Oryctolagus cuniculus: one gene and its partner. The protein of the gene in region 1 interacts with the protein of each later gene in a biochemical or structural test. Links are inferred from orthologs where the notes say so. Each region holds a gene or a part of one and is shown on either strand. Other genes may lie near its edges.

Evidence for each region. The genes of interacting proteins can lie anywhere in the genome.
Region 2: the proteins of HDAC6 (region 1) and PRKCA form a complex in vitro, tested with the Homo sapiens proteins (2 studies listed by BioGRID, with this or other methods). The link is inferred for Oryctolagus cuniculus from reciprocal best matches to the Homo sapiens genes HDAC6 and PRKCA.

What each region holds. Positions count from the first base shown.
Region 1 is NC_091453.1:33,985,996-33,990,747, forward strand, and holds the start of HDAC6 (histone deacetylase 6), read left to right. Parts: upstream 1-1,772; 5' UTR 1,773-1,840; coding exon 1,841-1,984; intron 1,985-2,006; exon of another isoform or gene 2,007-2,134; intron 2,135-2,146; exon of another isoform or gene 2,147-2,259; intron 2,260-2,336; exon of another isoform or gene 2,337-2,548; intron 2,549-2,634; coding exon 2,635-2,757; intron 2,758-2,847; coding exon 2,848-2,976; intron 2,977-3,121; coding exon 3,122-3,210; intron 3,211-4,752.
Region 2 is NC_091448.1:12,520,745-12,525,543, forward strand, and holds the start of PRKCA (protein kinase C alpha type), read left to right. Parts: upstream 1-1,507; 5' UTR 1,508-1,737; coding exon 1,738-1,910; intron 1,911-4,189; coding exon 4,190-4,221; intron 4,222-4,799. UniProt on the Homo sapiens protein: Calcium-activated, phospholipid- and diacylglycerol (DAG)-dependent serine/threonine-protein kinase that is involved in positive and negative regulation of cell proliferation, apoptosis, differentiation, migration and adhesion, tumorigenesis, cardiac hypertrophy, angiogenesis, platelet function and inflammation, by directly phosphorylating targets such as RAF1, BCL2, CSPG4, TNNT2/CTNT, or activating signaling cascade involving MAPK1/3 (ERK1/2) and RAP1GAP.

The DNA of each region.
Region 1 (4,752 bases):
CCTTTCTCACTGTCTCTCTCTCTCTCTCTCACTGTCCACTCTGCCTGTCAAAAAAAAAAAAAAAGAGAGAGAGAGAGAGAGAGAGAACCTACCAACTATGCCACAGAGATGTTACATGGCCTGCAAAGCCCAATTACTTTCTGGCCCTGTATAGAGCACATTTGCTGACACTTGCTCTTGTGGGTATATCTCTTCTGATTACAGTAAAACGGGCCTTGGGGCCGGCGCTGTGACATAGTGGGTAAAACCACCGCTGCCTGCGGTGCTAGCATCCCATATAGGCAACAGTTCAAGACCTGGCTGCTCCACTTCCGATCCAGGTCTCTGCTGTGGCCTGGGAAAGCAGTGGAAGATGGCCCAAGTCCTTGGGCCCCTGCACCCATGTGGGAGGCCGGGAGGAAGCTCCTGGCTCCTGGCTTCGGATAGGCGCAGCTCCAGCCATTGTGCCCAACTGGGGAGTGAACCAACGGATGGAAGACCTCTCTCTCTCCTTTCTCTGTGTAACTCTTTCAAATAAATAAATAAATAAATAAATCTTTAAAAAGAAAAAAGAAAAATGGGCATTGACCCTTTGCAAGACTTCCTAGTCTATTGCTTTGCAGGCATAATAACCCCAGAATGTTCCTCAGCGTGTACTACTGTGTTTTTCTTTCGCCTGTATAGAGGTTTAAAGTTCTTCCATCTGTGAACCTCCTGTTCTGAACCAAGTCATGTTGAGGCAGGAAAAAAGCAAAAGAGGAGGCTGGAACGGGCGTCTTCAAGACGATCAGAGGGCCCCACTACTGGGTGGCAGGGCTGTCAATCTGTTCGTTACTCAGCGATGCTGAACCCCCAGACCGCTTATCTCTCCGGCCCCAGCTTACAGCCCGGTAGGAAATGGTGGAGAACGAGGGAGGGAGATTAGGACAAACTGGCCTCCTGCGGGGGCTATTTAGATTCAGGGTGCAAGTTGTGGGGGGTGGGGAGCGGACACAGGGACAACTCCCCCTACCTGCTAGGCACACACAGCTTGGGGGCAAGGTTACCCGCTGCAGGGGACAGAAAGGGCGAGCAGCCGCCTCCGAGTACCCCAAGCGCTATGATTATCACATTTTCCAGATGAGGAAATTGAGCAGAGCTGTTTCAGCAACTTGTTCAAGGTCACATGGGTAAGCCCGTAACCTCAGCTGGCTTATCTACAAAACAGCCTTAACAATGGGAACTACCTCCTAAAACTGTTTTGACAATGCCTTTCGCCATCACATTAATGAACGTTACTGTTACTTCCACTAAGACCGCTTCCACGCCAGGGCCCATTTTGCGGCAGAATATTAATAGCTAACATTCGGTGTTTCCTGTGTGCCACCGCGAGAACATTAACTTAGAAAGGCCTGACAACATTTATCACTCCCGTTGTGGCTACCAACTTCGCCCTCAGCCCATACACTAGCCCGCCTGTGCTACGTCATCACCGCGCGCCGCGCAGCAAACCGCGGGAAGACGGCAAAACACGCTTCCTTCCTAACTCCCTCGTTTTCTCGCTTGCTCTCCGAATCACCGCGCCGCACAGTTGGCGCCGGTCCGGAGGGTTCGTAAAGTGACTGGACAGAAACAGAGGGGACAGTGACCATAGCAGCCAGGGGCATGCACGGTGGGAGGGGCTTCGACGCGGGGAGGGACAAGGGTGAGCCAGAGCACCGCCTCAGAGCGCTGGCGCGCACTTTATACGCGCACAAACGGCTTGCGTTGCGTTCTGACGCGCCGGCCTGAAGTCACGTTGGCCCTCGCGAGGCGTGCGGCCCTGAGGCACCATCCCCGCTGTGGGCGGGACGTGGGCGGGCAGTAAGAGGGGGCAGGCCCAATGGAAACGAAAAGTTCCGGCACCCGCGGCCCCACAGGTCGTCGAGAAGTTGGCGGCGGCCGCAGAGGGCGGAGTTTGAGTAGTGGGCCGCGCCTAGAGAGCGGCTCTGGAAGAATTGGCCGGCATCGACAGCAAGGGCGGGAAGTAGGCGGAGGCCGGCGGGAGGCGGCTCGGGACTGGCTGAGGGGTTTTGGCGAAACGTTAGGGGTAGGGTTTAGGCGGGGGGGAAAGGAAGCGGCGGTGAGGAGCCGGGGTTTGTGGAAACGCTAGGGGCGTGATCTGGCGGAGGGGAAGGTACCGGGGCCGGCCCGAGGAGGGGTGGAGCCAAGTAATCGTTAAGGGTGGAGTCGAGGCCGGGGCTGGGTCTGGCTGAGAGAAAGGGTGGGTGATTATCCCGGGTGATAGGCCGGGAAAGGCAGGTTTGTGGAGGGCCGGGATCTGGGCGAGGCTTAGAGGAATGAAAGGGTTTAAGGGAGTGAGGCTTGGTAGAGTGAAAGGGGCGGTGATTGGCTAGGAAGGGCAGGCCTTAGCTCGAACTGATCCGAGGGGGTTCTAGGCTCAGTGAAACGACAAGACTGAGGAAAAGAAGAGTCGTGGAAAGGGGGCGGATCTGGTGGCACGGGCGGCACCCGGCGGTATAGACACCTCAGTGGCGGCAGAGGGCCTGGAGAGAGGCAGAGTTGAGAAGGCGGCGGGGAAGGAGATATTGTAAGGGAGCCGAGGCTAGGGGGCGGGGTCCTCAGGACACTCCGGCAGCCTCGCAGCCACGATCCCCACCCCCTCTCCCCTCCCAGAACCGCACCAGGGCCGAAATCTCCCCCACCATGTCCTCCACTGGCCCGGAGTCCACCACAGCCAGGTCCCGAAGGAGTAGGCACAACCCCCAGTCGTCCCCTCACGACTCCAGCGGCACCCCGGTGAGGCCCCAGACCTGCCCTGATGAGAGGGAGAGGGGGAGGGAGCAGCCATCCGTACGCTGGACTCTGACCCTTCTCTCTGATTGGCAGAAACGAAGTGTTAAGAAGGGCGCTTTACCTCGCTGCAGTCCCAACCTGCTAGAGATAAAGAAGAAAGGCAAAATGAAGAAGCTCAGCCAAGCAGCTGAAGAATACCTAATCACGGGGCTGCAAGAGCTGGTGAGAGGGGCCTGGCCGCGATTTAGCCTCCTGTGACAGTCTAAACCCCAAGGTTCCCCACCCTGGACAGCATGGGATATTCCCTCTGACTCAGGCCCCCAGATAGATCTGTGTCTCCCTCCCTCCTCTTTCCCCCCCGCTGCAGGATCTGGACTCTGAGGCCAAGACGCCGGCTGGCACTGGTTTGGTGTTCGATGATCAGCTCAATGAATTCCACTGCCTCTGGGATGACAGGTGAGGCGGGGTCCTCCAGGCAGTGCCCAAACAGGGGCAGATACACACACTTCGAGCCCCTTAGCAAGAACTAAGGCTTCTTTACACCAGCCTGGAGACTGGTAGCAGATGACTTAGGGAGGCAAGGCTCACGGGCGAAAGGGTTCTCTTTTAACCACCAGACATTTATGGAGTGCCTATTGTGTGCCTAGAGTTGACGAGAGAAATGTACCAAACAAGACAGGCAGGGGCCTTTCTCAGGAAGCTGATCAGTAAGTAGGAGGGTCAACCGTTAAGCTGCCAACAGTGGCTTGTGCGTTGTTTAATGAAGATGGACTTAAGACTAGGGGATCCAAGAGGGTTGGGTAGAGGACCCTAGACTAGCAAGAAGCCATCCTTGAGGAAGGGGCGTTTGTGCGAAACTGAAGAATCACACATCCTATTTACCCTGTGTTTCAAAAGGATCAACAACTTTTGACTTTGTGTCTGAGATATATTTAGTATTTGACCTCCCCTCACTACTTCCACTGATATCACCCACCTAGACTTGCAGAGTCCTCCTCATTGGTCCCCTGCTGCCAGCCTCATGCCTCATGTTCACACAGAAGCCTAAAAACATATGCATGCGTTGATGTTCTCTTTCTAAAAATACTTCAAGGACAGACCATTGCCCTCAAAGTAAAGTCCAAATTCTTCACTCTGGCCTCTGAAGTTGCATGTGACCCAGCTGCACATTACTTTTGCGACCTCATCAGCCAGTCCTCCCCCTCATTTGTTTCCCTTCAACATCACTCACACCAGTTCTCTCACAGCTCTTTCCAACATGCTAGGTACCCTCTGGCCTTGAATTTTGACTCTGGCTGAGCCCAGTTCTCCTCTCCCAGCCAGCTATCATATCTTAAGGAGACTTTCTTAAAGAAGGTTCTGCCTGCATGCTGCCCTGCCTCCCCCGCCCCCCATCTTAGATGTTTTCCTAGCCCGTGACATTGTTTGTTAATTATTATACTTAGGTGTTAACCAGATTAGTATCTATCTCCCCTGGCCCAACCTAACACTAATTCATGAGGGTGAAAGACTTTGTTAAGGGATATATATTTACCATCTGTTGAGCTAGAGATATAGCAGCAAACAAAACAAAAAAATCCTGCCTTCATGGGGGACCAGAGAAGAGAGTCAACGTATAAACCGAAGTGATTTCTGCCTAGTTTATTGTCCAGTTAACTTGAATGATCTTTTAAAAGTTGGCATTGTAAAAAAAACAACTTCCAAAAAGCTTTCTGACATAGAATTGAGACAATATTATCTTTATTCATGAGTTGGAAAGGAAAGAGGCTACGTGAAATAAATGTTCTGAGTGGGGCCATTAGGATGTCTTGCAGCTACGTGGTCAGTCAGTGCCACTGATATTGATCAGCCTGCATGTAGCAGGGCTCCCTTAATTGGATCTGAGGACTTGATCTTATTTTTAATCCTCTCAGCTTTCAATATATTGCCTAGAAGACTCAGTTACTACATGGTATGTGGTTGTTTAGGGGGAGAAATATAACTAGACAATTTGTCGGC
Region 2 (4,799 bases), on another chromosome or scaffold:
CTTATCTTCATCAGATGCAGCGGGACCTCTGCCCTGGATAAAGATGGCTCTGGGAGGAAGCTGTGTTTCACTCTGCTGTGCTCCATTTGATTGATGATTATTAAGCAATAAACAACCGTGGCTTGAGACACTGGCGGTGTTTGGCGATGAACTGGATCTGTTTTCCCAACAGGCCCTGCTCTTCCTTCTTTCCCTGAGTCCTTGGGCTGGAAGCGCTGCCGTGAGTGGTGGAATTTCTGACCAGAGAGGATGCTAAGCAGGTGCAGTGTCGAAGCATCAGCATTGGTGCACGGGATCATAAATGGGTCAGCCAAATGCAGGCTCCACTAATGGCCGGCCCACAGCCTCCACTCGTTAAAATGTAAATACAATCCCTATTATCCAGCATCACAATTAAAAGGTATTTGCAAAAAATCAAAGTGGTGGTCTGGATGATACACTCTCTCCAAGGTGGTTTATAGCTTCGAAAAGTTGTCTTTTTAAAAGTTTCTTGCAGGATTCGGCAATGAGCTCTCTTTCCTGGTGTCTTCACCTTGTGAAGTTGTTTTGTGAACTTAGTGAATCTGGCAAATAAAAACAATAATGAAATGCTGCGAGATGGTTGTTTGCTTTCTGTTTTAGTGTCTTCCAGGCAGACCTACTGAATATTCAGCGAGTGATTAGTTGGTACATTGCCACGTGTGTCCTTCGCATACCCATGCCAGCCACTCTTCCACAAGCACTCTCACTCGGTAATTTACAAATGTTCGGGCTGCACTCTGCACCTGCCACTATTGCAGTAATTAGCTTAGGATACAAAATGGTTTCTAAATTAAGGCTCTGGACTTGTAAAATCAAGAAAGCCTGGGAGCCGGTGAACTCGCAGGACAAATCTCCAGCGATCCCAGGTGGCGGGCACGCCTGAGGTCTGGAGCAGACGCCTCCACAACCCGTGGGCCACAAGTCCGTCAACGGCCGAGGGAGGGGGAGAGGGTCAGGGCCCCGAGGTTCAGGCTGCTCCTCTCTCTCCGGCCACCTGTGGGCAGCTTGAAGCTCTGGGGGCTGTGCCCGGGGGCGGGGGCTGGCGCTGCAGCCAGGTGCAACTGCGAACCGGCGCGGTTAGACGGGGAAGGGGGCTCCGGGAGGCTCAGAACCCCGATCCCGAAAAGGAGAAGCGGAGAGAGGAGGAGGAGGCCGGGCGAGCGGAGCGGAAGAAGAGGAGGAGAACGAGGAGGAAGGAGCGCCGGGAGGAGGAAGAGAGAGGGCAGCGAAGGGCCGGCCGGGCCCTCCCGGCTCCCTCGCGCGGGGCAGTCCTCCGCCGGCGGCCGCCGCCGTCTCGCCTGGGCTCCAGCGCCCCTGTCCCGCCCGCGCCGAGCAGCGCAGCCCCCGCGCGCGCGCGCCCCCGCTCCAGCCCGCGCGCGCCCGCGCCGCCGCTCCAGCCCGGGGAGCATGCGCAGTGGGCGGTGCCGCTCCGGGCCGCCTCGCCGCCGCGAGTAGGAAGCGCGAGCGCCGGGCGCCGGGCTGTCAGTGAGCGTGGGGCCAGCGAGCAAGCGAGCGAGCGAGCGAGAGAGAGCCAGCGAGCGGCTCCGGCTCCGCGCCGCGCCCGCTCGCCTCTCCCCGGCCGCCGCCGCCTCCAGCCCGCGCCCCGCGCCCGGGGTCGCCCCTCGCCCCGCCGCCCCTCCCCCGCCCGCCCCCGCCCACCCCGGCCCTCGCCGGCTGCCGCTCCCCGGCGGAGGCAAGAGGTGGTTGGGGGGGACCATGGCTGACGTTTTCCCGGCCAACGACTCCACGGCGTCTCAGGACGTGGCCAACCGCTTCGCCCGCAAAGGGGCGCTGAGGCAGAAGAACGTGCACGAGGTGAAAGACCACAAATTCATCGCGCGCTTCTTCAAGCAGCCCACCTTCTGCAGCCACTGCACCGACTTCATCTGGTAGGTGCGCGCCGGGCGCACGGGCGGCCGCCCTCGGGCAACTTGCAGAGCCGGCGGGAGTCCCAACTCTCGCCCGGGCCGGCTCGGCTCGCGCGCGCCGCTCTGCCGCGGGAGGGGGCCCGGGCCGGGGCCTCTCCCCTCGCCGGGGCGCACCCGGCCCGGCCGAGCCGGCCGCGGGCTGGCGGGAGGCAGAGGACCAGGGAGCCGGCGGCGGCGCGGAGTTCCCGGGCGCGCTCGGGGGCGTGTGTTTGTGCTGCCCTCGGCTGCCTGGCTCCCGGAGCCGGGCTCTGCTGGGCGCGCGGAGACTTTCTCTCCCTTGGGTGAGCCCGGGGTGGGGGAGAAACAGGAGAGCGAGCAAACTGTTGGAAGCTCGCGGTGGGGGGAGGGGGTCGAAGCGGAGCAGGCGAGTGGCAGGAGGGCAGAGGGAGTCTTTTTTTTTTTTTTTTTTTAAATAGACCCTGTCAACACGAGATTAGACCTGTAGCCCGGCGGAGGAGGACAGAGGCCTTGTTTAAGAAAAATACCCCGATGGCTAAAGGTGCCGGAGTGAGGTGACTTCCAAGAAACGCAGCCGCTGCTCGTTTGGGGCACCTGCGGGATCCATAGCTGGAAAGGGCACCATTGGTCTCAGGTCCTCGGCCTCCCCACCCCCGGGAAGTTCAGGGAGCGCGAGGTGAAGGGCCCGTCTTCCCCGGGTCCTACCCTCGGGGTCGCAGTGGTTGGTTCTGCCTCAGGACACCGGTGGGCAGTTCCAGGGCTGCGGCTGGGGTTCCCTAGTCCCCCCGCCCCCAGGTGCCCAGGGCGTGCCCTGGCACCAGCCAGCTCCCCTCCCAGGCACGCGTGTCCTGGGGGCTCCGGGGTGGGCGTTGCCTGGTTGGCTGCGTCTGACCCCATCACACCTGGGGGAAAAGGTGCTAACAGGCGAGCTCTCTGAAAGTGCTGCTAATGGGGTGTTTAGGCTTGACCTTTGCCTTTTCAGAAATCCGCTTAAAAATACAGGCTTTTTGGAAAAGTACAGCACCTCTATGAATGGTTTCCACCGAGTAGTCCGCATATGGAGGAGTTGAGCTCACAGGAGTAGGGAATCCTAGATAAGGCTGCTTAAAATAAGTTTCTGGAGCGCCCGGGCGCGTCTGCCCAGGCGGAGGGCTGCTGCCTGCAGGGTCAGCTGTGAGGTTGCGTAAAAGAGAAGGGACTGCCGGCGATTCCTTTTGCCCGAAGTGGGTAACTTGGAAGAGGGACGGTGGGGCTGGCAGGCTGACTAGTCTTTGCGCTGTGCTGCCCCGAAGGCTGGAGCGGATGCGGCACCGAGGTCTCCGGGTGTAGTGTGCCCTGGACAGGAAAGGGCTCCTCTCTGCCCGCCCTGGGTGCACCTGGCAGCGTCCACACCTAACAGGCAGCCCCGGGGAATACCAGGGAAAGGTTGGTTCTTGATTTTCAGTTTTCTTCCAGTATTGCTTCGGTGGGTCCTTGATTTTACTTCAGTATTACAGCACTGATATTTTAAGGCTAGATATTTGGATTTATGTGCAGTTTTCTTTTTTTTTTTGGGGGGGGGGGAAGAACTCCTAAGTTAAGTATGAAGGTATGTGAAGTGTTGTATACATTTCAAATGTTATGTAAAGCAAGAGATTACAACCGAGGACCTCCTGAGAATTTCAGTGCAGTTCGTTCCTAGGGGAACAATGTTTGCAACTGAGGAGTTTGTCCTTGCAGGGTAAATTGTTAAAAATTAGATCATGATAATCTGAGATGCAAACAGTAGGGATAATATTTCATAAAATCTGGTTCCACCAGCCAAAATTAAATGTTAAAAGTGGTGCTGTTGGTTAAAATATCATGTGTCTAGCGCTAGCCAAACTCCCATAAGCCACTCTTTAACTCTCTATAGGGAGAAAAACAATTCTCTGTTGGTCCCTAGGAACAAAATTCAGCCACTTCCTTTTCCGCTCTGTCTATAACCTCCTCTTGGTTACTTGATTATCCCTGTCATGTTCTTGTCTTGAAATTTAAGTGTCAGTAACAGAGTGAAAAGAACTGGAAAGAGGCTTGATGTGATGAGATGTTTCTTGGATCCCTTCTAGGTGAGAGAGACTTTTTTCCAAGTTGAATTTGTACCGTGATCTCGCCAGGTACTTGGACATGTCATTCCTAGCAGCTCCCCAGATAGGAGGTCCAAACCTTTAACTCTGTAGAACATTTTGTCCTATAGCTTGTTTAAAATGTGCTATGCCACACAGACTCTGTTAAGCTGTTTTATTCTTGTTTCTGTTTTTCAGGGGGTTTGGGAAGCAAGGCTTCCAGTGCCAAGGTAAGCTGTCTCACTGGATTTTATTTTCAAGTACAACATGAAGTAAGCACTGCAGACACGAAATGTGTTCCCGGCCATCCTTTGTGATGTAAAAAATAAATAAATAAATAAAATAACCTCTTGAAACACAAGGGCCCCAAGTTTGGGCCTTTTCTAAAAGTCAACCAGTATTGTCTAGTAATGGATATGGAGAGCTGCCTTTTACTCATTTTGAAAAATTCCTGTGATTTTATTTTTGCTGAGAACATTCTTGTCAGAAACTGCCGTCTTTGTGTGGGCGTTGAGGGGAAAAAAAGGAATCACTTTGTATTCATGTGACTTTTTTTTCTTGTTCCTCCTCTTTGTACTGTATCCCTTTTACCTCTGTGTTGGATTGGACTCACTGCACCTAATTTTGGGCCACACGTTACTCTAGTAAGGTTCTTGTGTTTTGTTTCCAGAGCAGAATTTGCGTGTCTCATGTGTATGCCAGTGATTCTTTGAGGAGCGATTGTTCCAGGGTGGCAGTGTGGCACACTCTGTTTTCGCCTTAAATATCTGACAACATACAGGATCCTGTATCGCATTCAGAAAGAGAC